3 linked regions of the Tribolium castaneum genome follow. The protein of the gene in region 2 purifies or fractionates together with the protein of the main gene of each other region. This does not show direct contact. Links are inferred from orthologs where the notes say so. Each region holds a gene or a part of one and is shown on either strand. Other genes may lie near its edges.

Region 1 (5,767 bases), on a different chromosome or scaffold from region 2:
TTATGTAATTAATTAATTAAATACTCTTGAGTATAGGCAAAAAATTGTTATTTCTTGTGTCTAATGATTAGTAGTTTGCTTAGTGCAAAAAAAAGGTTTCAATGAATTGTTAAATGAAAATTAAAAATTCAAATAAGCATAATTTTTCGGCTAGAAAAAATGAAATAATTTTGTATTCTTTATTTTAATCAGTTTTAATTATAAATGTTATGATATTTCAGCCAGTTTTTCTTAGAGCTTTTTTATGTAAATCTTTTTTTAATATTTTTAACATTTTTATTTACAAAAATTTTCGAAAAGGTATTTAAAAATACTGGGTAATACTGGGTAATTTACTGGGTAAATAATGTCATTTTTGTCTCAATTTTTTGACTTATTTGGCCCTATTATTCATTGATGTGAAAAAATGTCTAATAATTGTCTAGAAAATGTAAAAATAAAGTCATTTTCGGTTTTATTTAGTATCTTTTTTTTCTGGCTTAATTCAAAAGTAATCCTAAAGTCTTGAAAATTAGTAAAAATTACGCTATTTTTAAACAAATTTGGTAATTTTTAAAATTCTTCTTGGCAAATTATTCACCTTTTAAACATTGAACCCTCATAATTTTTTTTAAACAAAACGTGTTTGTAACGTAAGAAAACAATTAAAAATGCTTAAAAATATTTGTAGGTTTTTTAATTTATAAGAAGAAGAGTTTTGTTTGGAGAGATTTCAAAATTATCATTTTCCATAACTCTTATACATTCCATCCCATTTTTTCAGAACTGTCTTATATAAAATCTTCACAATTTTATAAATTATTCATTGACACCGACTCAGATACATAAACAAGCGCTTTTTTCATAATGACTGAAACGTCCATAAAAGTTTGTTCACCGGTTTTCCAAGAAATGTGAGATCAACGACCAAATATTTTTTGTTAATACAGTTTAAAAAAAAATCACCAGAACTTTATAATTTGTAAACCGTCTGGTATTTTTACAAGCACATACAGACATTAGAAAGTTACATAAGAACAAAAGTGTTTGATGAAATTTCACTTTTGTACTCACATTTGAAAATTGAATTTTTCAAATTATGCTCAGACAACATTCCTTACATGAACTTAATACCCGAGATAACATCACAATTGGAATTGTTGCAGTGAAGGACAACATGTGACTATATCAGATCACACTAAATTTGCAGTTAAACAAAATAAATTATAAAACGAAATGTGTTATTATTTTTTTCTGTAAAGTAGAATATTTATTCACCATTTCTGAAGTTGTTTCCGGAGTCGCACTGTGTCGCAAGCACCAAAGCGAAAATCGCGATTATTTGCGGTCGCATTTTGTCGCATTTATTTACGGAAGATGGTCACGACACGAACGAAACGTTGGACAAACTGTCCGACAACTCGAGAGCACCTGTGTAGAGCAGACAGTGGGAAAGTGTTTATGGCTTGAAAGTGGAATACGAGAGTATAATATTCTAGGTTTAGGTCTCTTATTGCAGCTTTCATTTTCAAGCAACATCCTTGATAGATATTAGACTTTACTTTTATGAATTTGATTTTTTCAGACTTGCAGTTAGTTTGTTCAGATTTGTAAATGATTTTGAATAAATTCAAAAAAAAGAGGTAGGTAATAATTGAAATTAAAAAACGGAACTAACGGTCGCCAATGAACTGTCTGGAACATTTTACGATGTAACACAAAAATAAAATTTACTAGGTTCGAACTGATAAAATTCATAAAATTACTAGATTTTTTATTTTATTTTACGATTTGTGCTCAAAAACGTGCTCAAGCACTGAAAAAAGTCAAAAACAGCACCATTTTTGCCCAAATTTGGCTATTTTTAGCATGACAAAGTTACAAAAAAAAAACAAAATGTGAAAAAGGCAAAAATATTTATTTGGGGATTTTTCGATTTATTCTACAAAGAATTTCGTAAGAGAATTAATATGTATTTTGACTTTATTTATAGTGATTTTTATGTCTGTTTTAGCAAAGTTCCATAAATTTTAAAAACGCGCTAAATAGAAGTTTGAAAATGATAAAAGTAAGGTCATCTCCGGCTTTTTTGGTAATTTTTTAGAAAACTCTTGTAAAAAAACAAATATTTTAACGCAAAAGTGAGCTTAAAGTCTTTTAGGACCGGTTTATAAAAGCGTCATTAATTTAATCTGCAATTAAATGCGTGATGATCAAATTCAACCAATCAACAAATTAAAATTTAACGAAGCTTTCTATGAAACCAAAGATTATAAAACTACGCTATTTCTAACAAAATTTTTGGGATTCTTCTTGACTTGGTTTTGCACAAAAACTACCTAAATCGAGTAAAAAGGCAAACAATTTATGATTTTTAGCCATATTATTTATAACTAAAATATTGCAAATGCAATTTTAGCCAATTTTTTCCAATCTTTAAAAATGGCGCAACCTTATTCACATCCAAATCGCCACGTCTCGTATCCCTAACCACCTCCACCACGAAATGTCAACTTGTTGTGATTAGCAATATTTGTGGTTATATTTACACTTTTTTCCTAAGTTCTACAAAAAATACAAACCGTGTTAAATGGCAGGCTTTACCGAATCGGCTTTTATCAAAAAACTAAACGATTTAAACAATTCCTCGCAAAGTATACAAACCTTATCGTTTTGGTTAATCCATCACAGAAAACATTACAGTACAGTAGTGAAATTATGGGGCAGAGAACTGATCAAAGGTACGAAAACATTTGATTTTAATTTTACAAATCCACACTGGAGATATTTCAGCCAAGGACAGCAAAAAACTAACATTTATGTACTTGGCAAATGATGTAATTCAAAACAGCCGCAAAAAGGGCCCCGAATATGGCCAGGAATTTGGGGCTCACTTGAAAAAGGCCTTCGAGCACATGTCGGACGCCGAGGAAAAAACCATAAGTAGTTTAGAACGTTTATTAACAATTTGGAGCGAGAGGGGGATTTACAATGAGACACAAATTAGCGATTTTAGGAGTGCGTTAAGTGAGGTTATCTGAGTGTTGGTGGTCCAGTGGGCTGTGAAAATTGTTTTAGAAAAAGAAGGGCCGCCTTTGAAAAAAGTCAAAACCGATGGAAAAGCACCCAAAGAGAAGAAAAAGTCTGAACATGAGGTTACAGTTGAAGTGGACGGAATGGTGGAAACGCATGTGCACTTAAGTCCACATACGCCAGCTGGGGATCCCCCTGAACCTGAAGAACTAATCAAGGCAATCCAAGATTTGGAGAATAATATTGCGTCCGCTGATGAAGGGGTGCGGCAACGCATTGCTCAATTGCCGCCTTCGGTCACCGAAATTTCCTCAATAGCTAGCTTGCAAGGTTGGTTTTGTGATTAAATTAAGTTGACAATACATCAAAATCTTTCGAAAACGTTAAGCACAATATTTTTTACTTTAAGTCAAAAACTCACTTATTTCAAGAGATTTTGCTAAAGGTGACTAAGAAATCAAGTTTTCAAATGGGAAATTATGTTGTTTTTGTTTTTTTTTTTGAATTGTTTGAAATACAAAAACTTTCATTTTTCGTCAAAACTACCCAAAAATATTCCACAAATTAATCCACGAAAATTCTAAGACAAAAATTTGAGAATCGGTGAATACTTTGTTTTTTCAATGAGTTAGCACGTTTTTTAAACGGTTCAAAAATGCACTAAATTGGCTGTAAAAAAACCAATTTCAGCTTTTTTGGAAAATTTTAGCACGATTTTTTAGCCAGAAACAAACAAAATTCATCACATCACGTCAAAAATGGCATTACTTTTGCGCTCCTTGTGCGTTCTTTGGCAACATTGTTTGTCAAAGTAGTAATTCAGTATTGTCAACTTAACTTCAGTCACTTTGATCAAAAATTTATATTTTTTAAAATCAGATAAAGAGCAAGCCGAAAAACTGAGTCAACAAGTGAACGAAGCTGTGACGTTGTTAAATGAGTACAACAGTCGTCTCGCCGTTGAAATGGAACATCGCAAAAAAGTTTCGTCAATGATTCGAGACTTTCTTCAGGTGCAGCAAGAACTGTTGGCTCAAGCCGAGCAAAATCTAGAGGTAAATAACAGTGTTTTGTTTTATTTTATTTATTTATTTATTTAAAATTTCTAGGAATATCAAGATAAACTAATCAAAGTCTATAGTGTTCGAAACGAATTAAAATCTCACATTCAGAATTTACCCGATCTGACGCAACTCCCGAATGTGACCGACGGTTTAGCTCCATTACCCTCAGCTGAACATTTATTTATGCCTTAAATTGTGATTGATTTTTCACACAACAGTGTTTAAGTGTCGACTGGCGTTATTAGCTAAATTTTAATTAGAGCATTTCAACTATGATGCATATTTATTCAAGCACAGGGTGCGCTAGTTGTAGTTGTGAAAACAATTTTTAAATAAATTTGATTTATTGACTTGTCCCACACCACTTGTTAATAAACGACAAAACATTCGAAACATTTGACTCGGGCGACATTTTCGCACCCATATTCAGTTTCGACCAAACGTCTTTATTTGCCTGAAAATTCGACTTGGCAAAGGTTACAATTTGTTTCCGGACTGGATATCCGGAAACAACACACGGTTGTTCCCCTGGTTGTAAACAACTCTCGTATAACTGTCTGTCGTCCAAAGGCAACGTCTGAAAAAAAATTAAGTAAATAGCTATTTATACAGGATGTATATTATTGATATTTAAATAATTAAAAAATTAATATTTTTTACAAGTAACCCCCCAAGAATCGGAATTACACAGAACCATAAACGACAAAAAGTAACCGAAAGAAAAATTCAAAAACAATGATAATGCAGTGATCTGCGAAAAGAAAACAGACAGACAGAAAACAGAGTGAGTTAAGTAAAAGCTGTTAATAAGATTAATTTTTTTAACATTTAAAGGTTAATAATAAACTTTTTCCGCCGCGCTTTATAGAAATTCGTATGTTTCTCCCTCATTTGCAAATGCAAGCTAGTAAAGACAATTAGGGAGCAAAAAAATATTTTTATTAGTGCTAAATACCTGTTCAATTCTTTGGTCCATGCTCACTGTCAGCACCCATTCACGTACATTATCATGCTCTCGTGGGTCTTCACTTAGATACAAACGTCCAGGAAGTGGAATATTTGATGGAAAATCAGTTTGAACTAAATCTGAATGATCCACAAGTTGTCCTTCACCTTCTTCGATCGCTTCACACAAATCTAAATAATGATTCAAAAAAACGAAAGCTTCCGACAATCGACCTTCCTCTTTCAAGTCTTTTCCTGCTTCGTAAAATGCTTTATCAGCCGGTATTATATCAGTGTAACGTAATAATGCGGTACTTATTTTAACACCGATTGGTTTTAATGATGGTACTTGTCTACAAGCTGTACGAAGTGCATAATAGTGACTAATTAGTAACAAATTTCTAAAATGAAGCTTTGTTTCCATGTTGGTATTAGCAGCTAAACCTTCATTCTACAAATTAAGTTAGTTATTTTTGGTGAATTTATTTGATTTAGGAACTACTCAACTATTTCAAATAGCATTTGTCTGAGTTGTTCCCAAACGGCAAAACTTCCAGGTCCTGAAATATCCGATAAAGCAAACATTTCCGAAGCAATGTGGTTATAAATGTTGAAATTTTGTGGCATTGCTGGAGCTCCATGTGTTGAATAAAGATTTAAAGCTTCTTTTACGAAACCATCTTTGAGTAATTTTGCAGCATATAAAGCTACATATTTGTGTAATATGGGGGCGCTGTGTGTTTTGG
Region 2 (4,181 bases):
CGAACTGCTCCTCTTGGTCGCCGATGCGTTTCGATTCGGCGTCCTTGTACGAGCGGTAAAACACAGATCTAAAGCACAAAATAACAAATTATTTTATTTCTACTATATTACTTTTTTTTAATACTCACCGGAAAAATCCCCTTTCGACGGCCGACGCGTTCAAAATAACCGAATCCTCCTGGTTATAACCGGTGTAACACGCAATGGCCACGATGCTGTTAATCCCAGCCGGTAATTCCCTGAATCTGAGATATTCCATTGATCTGGTTGTAACCAACGGTTTGTGGGGGTAATACAGGACGTGGGCAAGGGTGTCCATGCGGACATGGAAGTTGGTGATGTACACACCCATGGCTTGCTTGCCCATAGCACTCTGAGGAAAAAATTAATTACTAAAAAAATTCAAACAACACCAAAACAAATACTTGATATGTGTTTCTGGGACTCTGGTTGTGATCCGGGAAGGGTATAATACTGGCACAAACACCCAAAATCATAGCTGGATGGATCTCACAATGTGTGTAAGTGGTACAATACGCGTATTCCTTCTCCTGTCTCAAATCGTCCGGAGACATCGCAATCATCACAGTCTCCTCTTCCAAAGTATCGATATATTCGACAACCCCTGAAGCCACCAAAACCTGCCACCCGTAGTTATTATATTCCCTCTCTTTCAACATATCAATGTGGCGCTTCTTCAACAATAAAGTCCCATTTTCCACGATTAGTAACGGCCGACAAATCCGTCCAGCATCCGTGTAAATGCGAATCTCCCGGTCCCGAATATCCCGAATCATGGAAACCTCCGACACAATAATATCCATCTGTCTCCTCAACTTGCGTAACGTCGCCATCAACTGTTCGGGGTCCCTGTGAATTCCCACCCAGCAACCATTAACAAAAATCTTGGTCGCGTTGGCTATGGCAGACGGCGCAATCTCCTCCAAATTCTCCATCGACCACTCCTCCAAAAACTCCAAAATTGGAGAGGGTTGCGACCCCACCGAAATATACGCCATGAGGGCCAGATTTTTCACCAGACCAACAGCCGCCCCTTCTGGTGTCTCCGCCGGACAAATCATCCCCCAGAGCGTGTTGTGCAACTGTCGGGGCTTCGCCAACTTCCCGTCACGTCCAATGGGCGAATTAACACGTCTCAAGTGCGACAAAGTCGAGGCAAAAGTCAAACGGTTCAACACCTGCGAGACACCGGCTCTGGCCTGGTGGGCCTTCTTCTGGTCCCCCCAGTTACCAGTCGCCAGAGAATACCTCAACCCGTCCGTAATCAACTTAGTCTTAATGGCCAAGTCGAGGTTAAAGTCTTTGCCCCGATCAATAAATTTCTGGGCATACATCCGTACTTCCTTCATCAAGTTTTTAAACAACCCACGGAACAAAAACGCAAGCAGGGGCCCCGCCAAGTCCAGTCGTTTGTTACCGTAGTGATCCCGATCGTCCAGCTCGCGGCGCCCCAAAGCCGCCAGGAGCAACCGGTGCACCATGTACCCCAAAAAGTAGGCTTTTTTCGTCTCGCAAAAATCGGACACTCCAACGTGGGGCAGCATCTCCTTCTGGAGGATCTCTCGCGCGTATTTGATACGCTTTTCTTTGGTGACGCCCGGCCGGGCCCCCCTGGTCCCAATGAAGTTGAGTGCGATGTTCTGTTCCTGGATCACGAACGCTTCGTCCAGGGACGGTTTCACCATTTCCATCATCTCGGGGTCTTCGAAGTCGTAAATAATGTGCTCGAGGATGTCCCGATCGGCCACGAACCCCAAGGCCCGGAACACGATCATGATGGGGATCTCCTGCTTGATGTAGGGCAAGATCGCGATGATTCGTTGCCCGATGGCGGCCTTTTTGATCGCCTGGCCCCCACGTGCCATCATGTTGACCCAGAGGGTGGACGTGGGGCGCGAGCTGTGCTCGAGACAGGAGCGGATTTCGGATTTGAAGGCGTATTTCCCGTCTTTCATCGAGAAGACGTAGACGGTGTTCGTGGCCATTTTCTCCTGGGCGATTAGGACTTTCTCTGAGCCGTTGATGATGAAGTAGCCGCCGGGGTCAAGGGGGCACTCGTTGAGTTCGGTCAAGTCGCGGTCGGTTAGACCGTTGAGGAGACAGTACGTGGATCGGAGCATAATCGGGATTTTCCCGATGAAGGTTTTCTGGTGCTGGGTCTCAATGGGGTCCTCGCCGTCCTTGACTATGGTCTTGGTGATATCGACGTACAAGGGGGCCGAGTAGGTCAGGTTGCGCAAGCGGGCCTCGTTGGGCATCATGGGCGAGGGGGCGCCGTCTTTCTCCCAATGGGTCGGTTTGGATAGGTAGATCTGCTCGAATTTCAGTAAATACCGAGAGGGGTTTTCAAGCTCGCCGCTTGTGTGCTGTGCCTCGGCTTGGAGGTCGATTTGGGGCGAGTCTTCGACGATTCGTTGCACCGACATTTGGATAAACTCGTCGAAACTGTCCAGTTGTTGCCGGACGAGGCCTTTTTCGTCGAAATAGGCGTTGATGACGATCCAGCAGGCCTCTTGCCACAACTCGGAGCTGATTTCTTCAGACTCTTCATCGTCGAATTGGTCTGAAAAGCCGGTTTTTGTTACAAATGGCTCGGGGGCTACTCAAGGGGGATTGCGTACCTTCGTCTTGTTCATACATTGCTGATTATTTGCAAAAAATGGGGCACAAATGAGACGCACAAAACACAAGTTTTGAGCGTCTGTCAAGTGTCAGTTGACTTTGTATGGGGACCCCAAGAAAACCCTTATTTTGTGAAATAAATTAATATTTTATGTTCGGGGGGTAGCCCCAAACACAATACTTTGGAAAACAAATAAAAAACTTGTTAAATACGGCCCAATTTTTTATTTTCCTGCAATGACCTTGAAGTGTTACGTAACCATACAACAAAAAAGTCTCCAGATTTTCAAGATACGATGTTAAATTACACTATTCGACCAAAAAAATATTTAATAATTATCTGTAATGTGACTTAAAGGTCAGGTAAGTGGTAACAAGTCCAATTTTTTAATTATATTGCGTTTTTGATTTTTTGTGGATTGCACCACGTGACTTCATTATTGGCGCTAAATTTCAAACTCCATGGTAATATATTACTTTTTTATTAGGAACAGTCATATCATTACAATAAATAGCTTAAAACTATCACTACAATCAGACTGTGAGCAAATTTGGCTGGGTTGCTTCCTGAGCGTGCAAAGAAAAATCCGGTCCGTTTTTTACCTGCAAAATACACTCATTTTTTGTCGCCTAATCCATAAACTTACTCTTCTCGTTGGGGTCTTGTACTCCACACTGCTTGTACGCAATTTTCACCTTACGTTTCGTATTAATAAACCCTGGAATGTACAATGTGGGGGTGTCTAAACGCCCACTTGCCAGCAATCGGCTGAAATCCTGCTCTAATCGGTTAGCTAGCGGTCCTTTAAAATGCAGCAAAAGCTGGACGCAAGCGTCGCTGTGCAAAGACTTGGTTTTGCGCGAATCTACGGTCAAAAACCAGTCGGGGATTCCCAGAATTTCGCGCACTTCTTCGATAAACTGCGACAGGACAAAACGTGGGGGCTTTTCGATGTTTGCGTACTTGATTATGTCATAGTCGGGCTCGATATTGGCACAGGCGTAACGTTCGGGACGTCTGTTGGGGCTCATGATGACGATGGAGCGCCCGATTGCCGTGACGTCGCCTTCGAGCGGGAAATTCGCATCGGTGAAGACTTTGCGCTGGAGCCCGATGTCGATGGTCCCCAAACGGGCCGACAGGTCCCCCACGTGGCACCTGAGCGGGTTCTCAGGCCCGCACTCTTGCCGATAAAGATCACCCTGAAACCAGAACATTATATTATAAAATTAAAAAAAAAGCAAAATATACATTGAGGGGGTCGGCCAGTTGGGTGAAATAGGGGTTCCAGATGTAGCCCCCGGCCACACACCGCGTGTTCTGGGTCTTGACGGCCGCGTCCACGCCCACTGGGTTCACGTAAATGGCCCAGTCATGGTCCCTGGTCTGTTCAAAATAGTACCATTAAAAATAAACCACTGGAGACACGTACCACATTCCGGTCGTTTTTCCCAGGATGCCGCAGTTTGACTTCGATCGTGGTGTCACTCTTGCTACCGTCATTGTAAATTAGTTGTTTCTGCAATTGCAAAAATTA
Region 3 (6,145 bases), on a different chromosome or scaffold from region 2:
AATGACAAGGTTAATTACACATGCTGTTAAGAAAGTTGTATATCCGATGGGGGATATAACTGATCCGGTCACAGGGAAAAAGGTTGTTGCCGGAAAGTACAGAGATTTCGTTGATTCGGTAAACAAGGTGTATGGTGAAAAGGAAGGAGCATTTAAATATGATAAAGCACCACCAAGGGGCTGGCAAGAAGACAAGAAAGACTTCACTCATGTACAAACATACATCAAGTACCACGATTCAGGAAAAGACGATCCTTATGCCGTCTAAAACCTTTATTGTTGTTCAAGTAGTTGTATTAAAAAGTAAGTTGTCAACAGTCTTTATTTGAAACTCTGCACAGCATTCAATTAAAAATAATTACATTAACATTCTATATATATAAATAAGAATCCTTCAGCGTGAAATTATTCAGGTAACAGATTTCATTGTTACTATTAATACTGCAAGTCTAAAAAAATAATCGATGGCTTAAAAAATTATTTCTAATTATTTGACAAGAATTCTCGTTCAAGGGCGGCACCCATCATATTCCACTCTCCATCGTCCACTTCGTCTGGAGCTTCCACACTTCCGTCACTATCTTGCGAATCAGGTTCCATATCCACTTCACTATCTACAGTCTCTCCCCTTCGGAACTTGACACTAGGCGTTTCATCATCTTCTGTACTATTATTGAGATCAATTTCAGCTTCGTCCCCACCTTCTCTTTTTCTCTTGAAGCCTTTTGGATGTTCACCTAGAGAATCGTCACTACTGCTACTATTTTCGTGTACTTCTTCAGAATTGACAACAGTTGCTTTCGCGTTCTTCTCTTCGTCGCTGCTATCACTTTCGTCGTCCAAAATGTCTTCAACCTGTGGAAGAATTAAACCATCAGCGACAACCTCAAAGGGGCAACAAAGACATGCACGAACTATTTTTCTGTTTTAAATAAAGTGAGAATTTGCATCAACCAACCATTTTTTAATTACAATTTTGAACAAATATTCATAATTACATTGCCCCCAACCGCAAAAGGCAAGAGTACCAAAAAAAAAAAACGTTTGTAATTATAAAACAAAATGTCAAACTGAATAAAACTAATTGCCGACTTTCGACCAGTTTGTCAGATAAAGAAGATCCTAACTGAAGTTGGTTGAAAACAAATTCGTCGCCCTACATTATTTTTAATTGACGATTTTTTATTAAATAAAAGTCTTGGTTGCTGCAAATTTAATTAAGATTTTATGGACAACGCTTTTTTTCTATAGCTGGTACCCTAGTGTCCGGTTTAGGAACACAATAAACGTATTCCCCTTTCACCTAATTTTTAACCTTACCTCCTTATCCATATCCGCTATATCTGCGCTGGAAAACGACATGAGAGGATTAATCGTGTCCATAAACCTTCCACTGGGTGTCCTTTTTCGCATAGCGGGCGTATTGTGCTCTGGATAACTTATAATATGCTCTGGACTGCTGCAATGAGGCGGTGGATGCCGGTTTTTTGAGCCTTTGCTATTCAAAGCAAAAATCTTCTCGTCTACGTGCTCCCACCGTTCTGCACAACACCACAGCCAATCGGGTGTAACAATCTTCAAGTTCTTCTTTCTTCTGCCGGCGTTCACCTTAGCAGTGCCTGGCCTAACAGCCACCAAATGTGTCGTGTCGTCCTCCAGCTCTTGCGTAACTTCAGCACCCAAACTCTTGGCGATTTGGTACGCTTTTGATTGTTCTAATTTGATGTGAGTTGGCACCAACCCGCTAAAAACCAGCTTGTAGCCCTGTAGCACCTGACTTCGCACCCCGGGAATCACCTTCTTCAAGTCGGGAACCTCTCCCGATTCCATTTTATCATAAGCGTCATAGAAAGCTTGATGAATACGTTTTAGTATATCTTCTAGATAGGAGAGATAGTCATCGGGGTCTTCAACTTCTACTAAATGATTGTTTATTTCGATTGCGTTTTTTGTTTCCGGAGGGGTTTCAGTTTTGGTGTCCCCTTCCGTTTGCGTTTTACTTTCTTCAGGTGGAGGCTTTTCGTCATTAGTTACTGCTTCACCATTCACACCTTTAGATTCAACATTTTCAATTTTTTGTTCGCTACTGTCGTCACCGTTTTTATTTTCATCTACTTTATTATTTCCTTCACTATCTTCGGTATTTTCTTTACTCTCGTTTTTTGTACTCTCAGATTCATTTGAAACCTGATTCTCAACTTTACTTTCCTCGACATTTTCACCATTTTTCTCACTGTCATTTTCTGTCGCTTTACTATCGTTATTCTGGATTTGTTCGTCTTTTTTCTGGTCTTTAATTTTTGTTAAATCAACTCCCTTGTTATCATTTTCATGTTTGTCTAAACCAGGGGGTGCGTTTATGTCGCCGGTGTGTTGAAAAAAATGGTACGGCTTGACATGAATCAAATTTGCGGCGTTCGACCACACGTCCTCTCTGTCGTCAATAATACACACCATGTTGTCCCCGCAAGGAAATAGAGCCCTAAATATAAAAAATTATGTAACACAGCGTATCAAAAAATATAAAAAAATATTTTCGCGAACTTTTAGCACAATTGTTGTTTTAAATATCACGAAGATAGTCTAAGACTAGAAAATTAGATCGAAACTGTTACTTTAGCTTGCTTCTCTCAGTTTAACAAGTTGGTTTTAAATTTTTAATCCGATATATTTATTTATTGTGCAAGTTCGTCTTAAAGTACCTTCGATTTGAGAGTAATTAAGGCAAAAATTACTTTTAATTTTGCTTTCTTGTCCGAATTTATCAAGTTTTTCATCCTGGTCTCATTTTTGCCTTTTTTTTTTCGAAAGCTAGACCTTCTACACTCAAATATGGTAGAGTGAACATATGCAAAGTGATTCAAAAACACTTGAAGAGAAAAACTATTTACTTATGATTTTGAAAGACTCAAAAAACAGGAATAACGGAATGATTTTTCAGATTTTTCTTTTCAAATACGTACTTTAAGTTCGCCTTTTTGCTAGTTGGGTCAAAACACTCATCCCGCGAGAGAATACGATTTGAGAAAAACTTCTGGTCCCTGTCCAGAACCGCAGCAATCATATGTGCGTAATTCCTTGCGCCAAAGGTGCAAATATGCAGCTCGTAAAACGGGTAAATATTGTTCAAAAACTGATGGGTTCCGGGCCTCAACCTTGTGAAGTACCAAGGTGAATTGGGCCCGTATAACTGAAAGCGATAGATATCCTTGATGTTCGGCTGAATGTGGTCATTGGTTGTGTGGATCAAGGTCTGATCCAAGTCCACAAGCAGGACAAGTTTCCTGTCTCTAATAAGCCGATCAACGTCCGCTTTGCCGAGTTTCTGTGCAAGCTGCAACAATGCAAGTCAAACCCCCGCAGCGGCATTTTATATAACGCAACCACCTCTTCGCTGACTTTCAAGTCAGGTATGGCATGCACCATGGGCACGGAAGCCGCCACACTGACGTCGTTTTTCCTCAAATCCGTGCCGCATTCTGCGCACATGTCGTTCATCACCGTCGGATGCGTGCATTCTTTCAATTCGCACAAAGTCTCGCTGAAAATTCGAGCGTGAGCTTTCGCGCGCCTTTTCAAAACTGTTGCTTACCCTGGCTTGACAATGGCGCCTTCCTGCGCCACAATCTTAAAAATTGTTCCGGCCTGTGTTACCTTCAACTTGCGTTGTTCCACCTTGGAAGCCCCGTCAAAATCATACAGAAGGATTACTCTTCCGATCGAGACAGTGTTCCCTTCGCTCACTTTCCATTTTAAAATTTTTATAGGTTTTGTTTGTTGCTGTGATATGCACATAGTTTTTTCCGCCATCTTGCACGGAAACGACTTCACTCATGAACGCAGAACGCGGCCTGATTGGACGACGCGTGCACTTCCGGGTGCCATTACTCACGCGCCCGTTTCAAATTTTGGGTAAAACAAACACAAACTGGCAATACAACTTATATTTGATTATATTACATGAAGCTTACATAAAAAATTTGACGTTTTACAATACAAATTTATTTAATGAGATAAACACTACATTTCTTAATTAAGTATAATAGTCGCAATAAAACACATAACACTATTATCACCAATAACAAAAATAAAGTTGGTTTAAAGTAAGATGTAATGCTTCTGAAACGGCTTTTCGGTTGGTACTCTATAAAATATGAACTCAAAACAATAAATATGTGACCTGTATTGGACTAACTATACCACACTCTTAAAATAATCACAATAATAATCCTTTCATTACATAAATTAGTGGGGGCCAATATCACCATATGTATCAAAATATTTGAAAAGTTTTGTCTCTAAAGGTTGTTGAACGATGGGGTAAAGTGCAACTTGCTAATTTGGAAGATATCAGATCATTAATTTATGTAATAAACCTGTGCAGTCACTTTCAATTCTTTAATAAGGGTTTCTCTCTTACACATAATGTAACCCTCAAGACAGACAAGTCATCTTAACAGCAACTCGAACCCTGCGAACCCCCGGCGCCGCCTGCACCAGGAAGCGATGGATTTGTGGGGGAATGTTGGGGGCCAATCTTGATTCCATTTGCCTGCACAATTTCAACAACAAAATTTAAAACACAATAGTTGTGAATTTGAGTTGGCAGCACTATACGTGTGACGTCTCAAGCTGCCAACTTAATTTCAAAGTCAGAAGAAAGTATCACCAAAAATGGGGTAATGAACTTGCTAATGTATAAAATTATTGATTTCTAAAGTTTGTGTAACCTTTAGAAAATGCCAATTAGCTTAACAGAGCAGAACCGCTGATTTACCTCATTGTTAATGTCAAAGACTCCCTCTTGTATTTTCTCATAGATCTCTTTTGCTGTGTTTATAAACGCTTCTTCAACGTTGGCGGCCGTTTTTGCTGAAGTTTCCATAAAGACTAGTCCGTGTTCTCTGGCAAAAGCTTCTCCTTCTTCCTTTTTCACTTCTCTCCTACTCTCTAGATCACTGGAAGGGTTTAGTTAACACTTTTGAAAAAAAAAAAAATAAAACGGGATGAACACCTTTTGTTTCCAATCAACATGATGACCATATTTGAGTTGGAATGCTGGCGGGCATCATCAAGCCATGTAGTCAAATGGTTGAAAGTCTCCCTCCTCGTAATGTCATAAACTAAAAGAGCGCCAGCAGCCCCCCGATAGTACGACCGCGTTATAGATCTAAAAGCCTCCTGTCCGGCAGTGTCCCAAATTTGTAATTTGATTTGTTTGCCATCAATGGTGATCATTCGAGCGCCAAACTCCACCCCGATTGTCAAATCATGAACTGGCTGGAACCTCTTGTCCGTGAACTGTAGTAACAGGCAAGACTTGCCCACACCTGTAACCCCATTGTTTACTTTACGTCCGATAAGCATATCAAGCTGATTTTAATGAATGCCAAACACACTCCACCTCCCCCAATCAGAATCCCGGACAAGTTTAAAACACAAAGACAGACCTTGACACCCATCCAAGATGAATAATACAAACGAGTTATACGCAAAATACAAGAAAATTAAACGAATCGATTATGATTTTTTACGGGAATTACCCGAAGCAACACCCACCTGTGTCACCTATTATAATGTACTTGAACAGATACGCGTACGACATTTTCACCACACGAAACTATAAACTAACAACTTGCTCTAATTACTTCACGGCTTATCACCGAATTTATCAACTTCGTAAAAAGATGACAGCTGTCTGCTGAATGCATAGAATATAGTAGTTATAGAAAATCAAGTAACACGTAATTCACTGGTCGTCAAAATTTCGATAATAGCGCCATATCTTGGTAGTATGAGGAACTAAAATTGGCGGCAAATTTAAATATTTTATTATTTACACAATTAATTTAATTTTTTTATTTTTTTACAATTTAAACACACATAACCGATTTTATTGAAAATCAGTTAAATGTGTTTAATTGCAAAATTTTGTTAGTATTATAAATATAAAGAAAAAATAAATACAATGAATGAAAATAATTTATTAATAAATTAACGTTTCACAAATTATGAAAATATCAATTATAAGAAATAAATGTCGTGTTTGGCTTCCACATATTAATTTGGCGACTTCCTCACCCTCAAAAAACGGTTATTTAACATTATTTTGTAACTTGGAAAAAAATTAAAGAACTAAATAAGT

The links.
Region 1: the proteins of Polr2B (region 2) and regulation of nuclear pre-mRNA domain-containing protein 1B purify together in Homo sapiens (affinity purification with mass spectrometry; 4 studies listed by BioGRID and IntAct, counting the BioPlex papers as one, with this or other methods). This does not show direct contact. The link is inferred for Tribolium castaneum from reciprocal best matches to the Homo sapiens genes POLR2B and RPRD1B.
Region 3: the proteins of Polr2B (region 2) and Fcp1 purify together in Homo sapiens (affinity purification with mass spectrometry; 3 studies listed by BioGRID and IntAct, with this or other methods). This does not show direct contact. The link is inferred for Tribolium castaneum from reciprocal best matches to the Homo sapiens genes POLR2B and CTDP1.

What each region holds. Positions count from the first base shown.
Region 1 is NC_087394.1:893,048-898,814, reverse strand, and holds regulation of nuclear pre-mRNA domain-containing protein 1B, read left to right. Parts: upstream 1-2,458; 5' UTR 2,459-2,569; coding exon 2,570-2,720; intron 2,721-2,772; coding exon 2,773-3,006; intron 3,007-3,057; coding exon 3,058-3,342; intron 3,343-3,891; coding exon 3,892-4,067; intron 4,068-4,121; coding exon 4,122-4,268; 3' UTR 4,269-4,419; downstream 4,420-5,767. Other genes in the region: uncharacterized protein tfc, read right to left, coding at 1,258-1,333; Oseg2 (intraflagellar transport protein 172 homolog), read right to left, coding at 4,420-4,653, 5,032-5,472, 5,529-5,767. UniProt on the Homo sapiens protein: Interacts with phosphorylated C-terminal heptapeptide repeat domain (CTD) of the largest RNA polymerase II subunit POLR2A, and participates in dephosphorylation of the CTD by RPAP2. Transcriptional regulator which enhances expression of CCND1.
Region 2 is NC_087395.1:24,234,855-24,239,035, forward strand, and holds the start of Polr2B (DNA-directed RNA polymerase II subunit RPB2), read right to left. Parts: upstream 2,801-4,181; 5' UTR 2,662-2,800; coding exon 2,643-2,661; intron 2,585-2,642; coding exon 426-2,584; intron 374-425; coding exon 129-373; intron 69-128; coding exon 1-68. Other genes in the region: uncharacterized protein Rsod, read right to left, coding at 3,146-3,246, 3,291-3,846, 3,896-4,030, 4,077-4,163. UniProt on the Homo sapiens protein: Catalytic core component of RNA polymerase II (Pol II), a DNA-dependent RNA polymerase which synthesizes mRNA precursors and many functional non-coding RNAs using the four ribonucleoside triphosphates as substrates.
Region 3 is NC_087396.1:10,631,796-10,637,940, reverse strand, and holds Fcp1 (RNA polymerase II subunit A C-terminal domain phosphatase), read right to left. Parts: upstream 3,851-6,145; 5' UTR 3,811-3,850; coding exon 3,593-3,810; intron 3,542-3,592; coding exon 3,388-3,541; intron 3,335-3,387; coding exon 2,964-3,334; intron 2,483-2,963; coding exon 1,321-2,482; intron 856-1,320; coding exon 484-855; 3' UTR 305-483; downstream 1-304. Other genes in the region: mRpS17 (small ribosomal subunit protein uS17m), read left to right, coding at 1-268; Rab2 (ras-related protein Rab-2), read right to left, coding at 4,454-4,552, 4,778-4,958, 5,015-5,330, 5,560-5,605. UniProt on the Homo sapiens protein: Processively dephosphorylates 'Ser-2' and 'Ser-5' of the heptad repeats YSPTSPS in the C-terminal domain of the largest RNA polymerase II subunit. This promotes the activity of RNA polymerase II.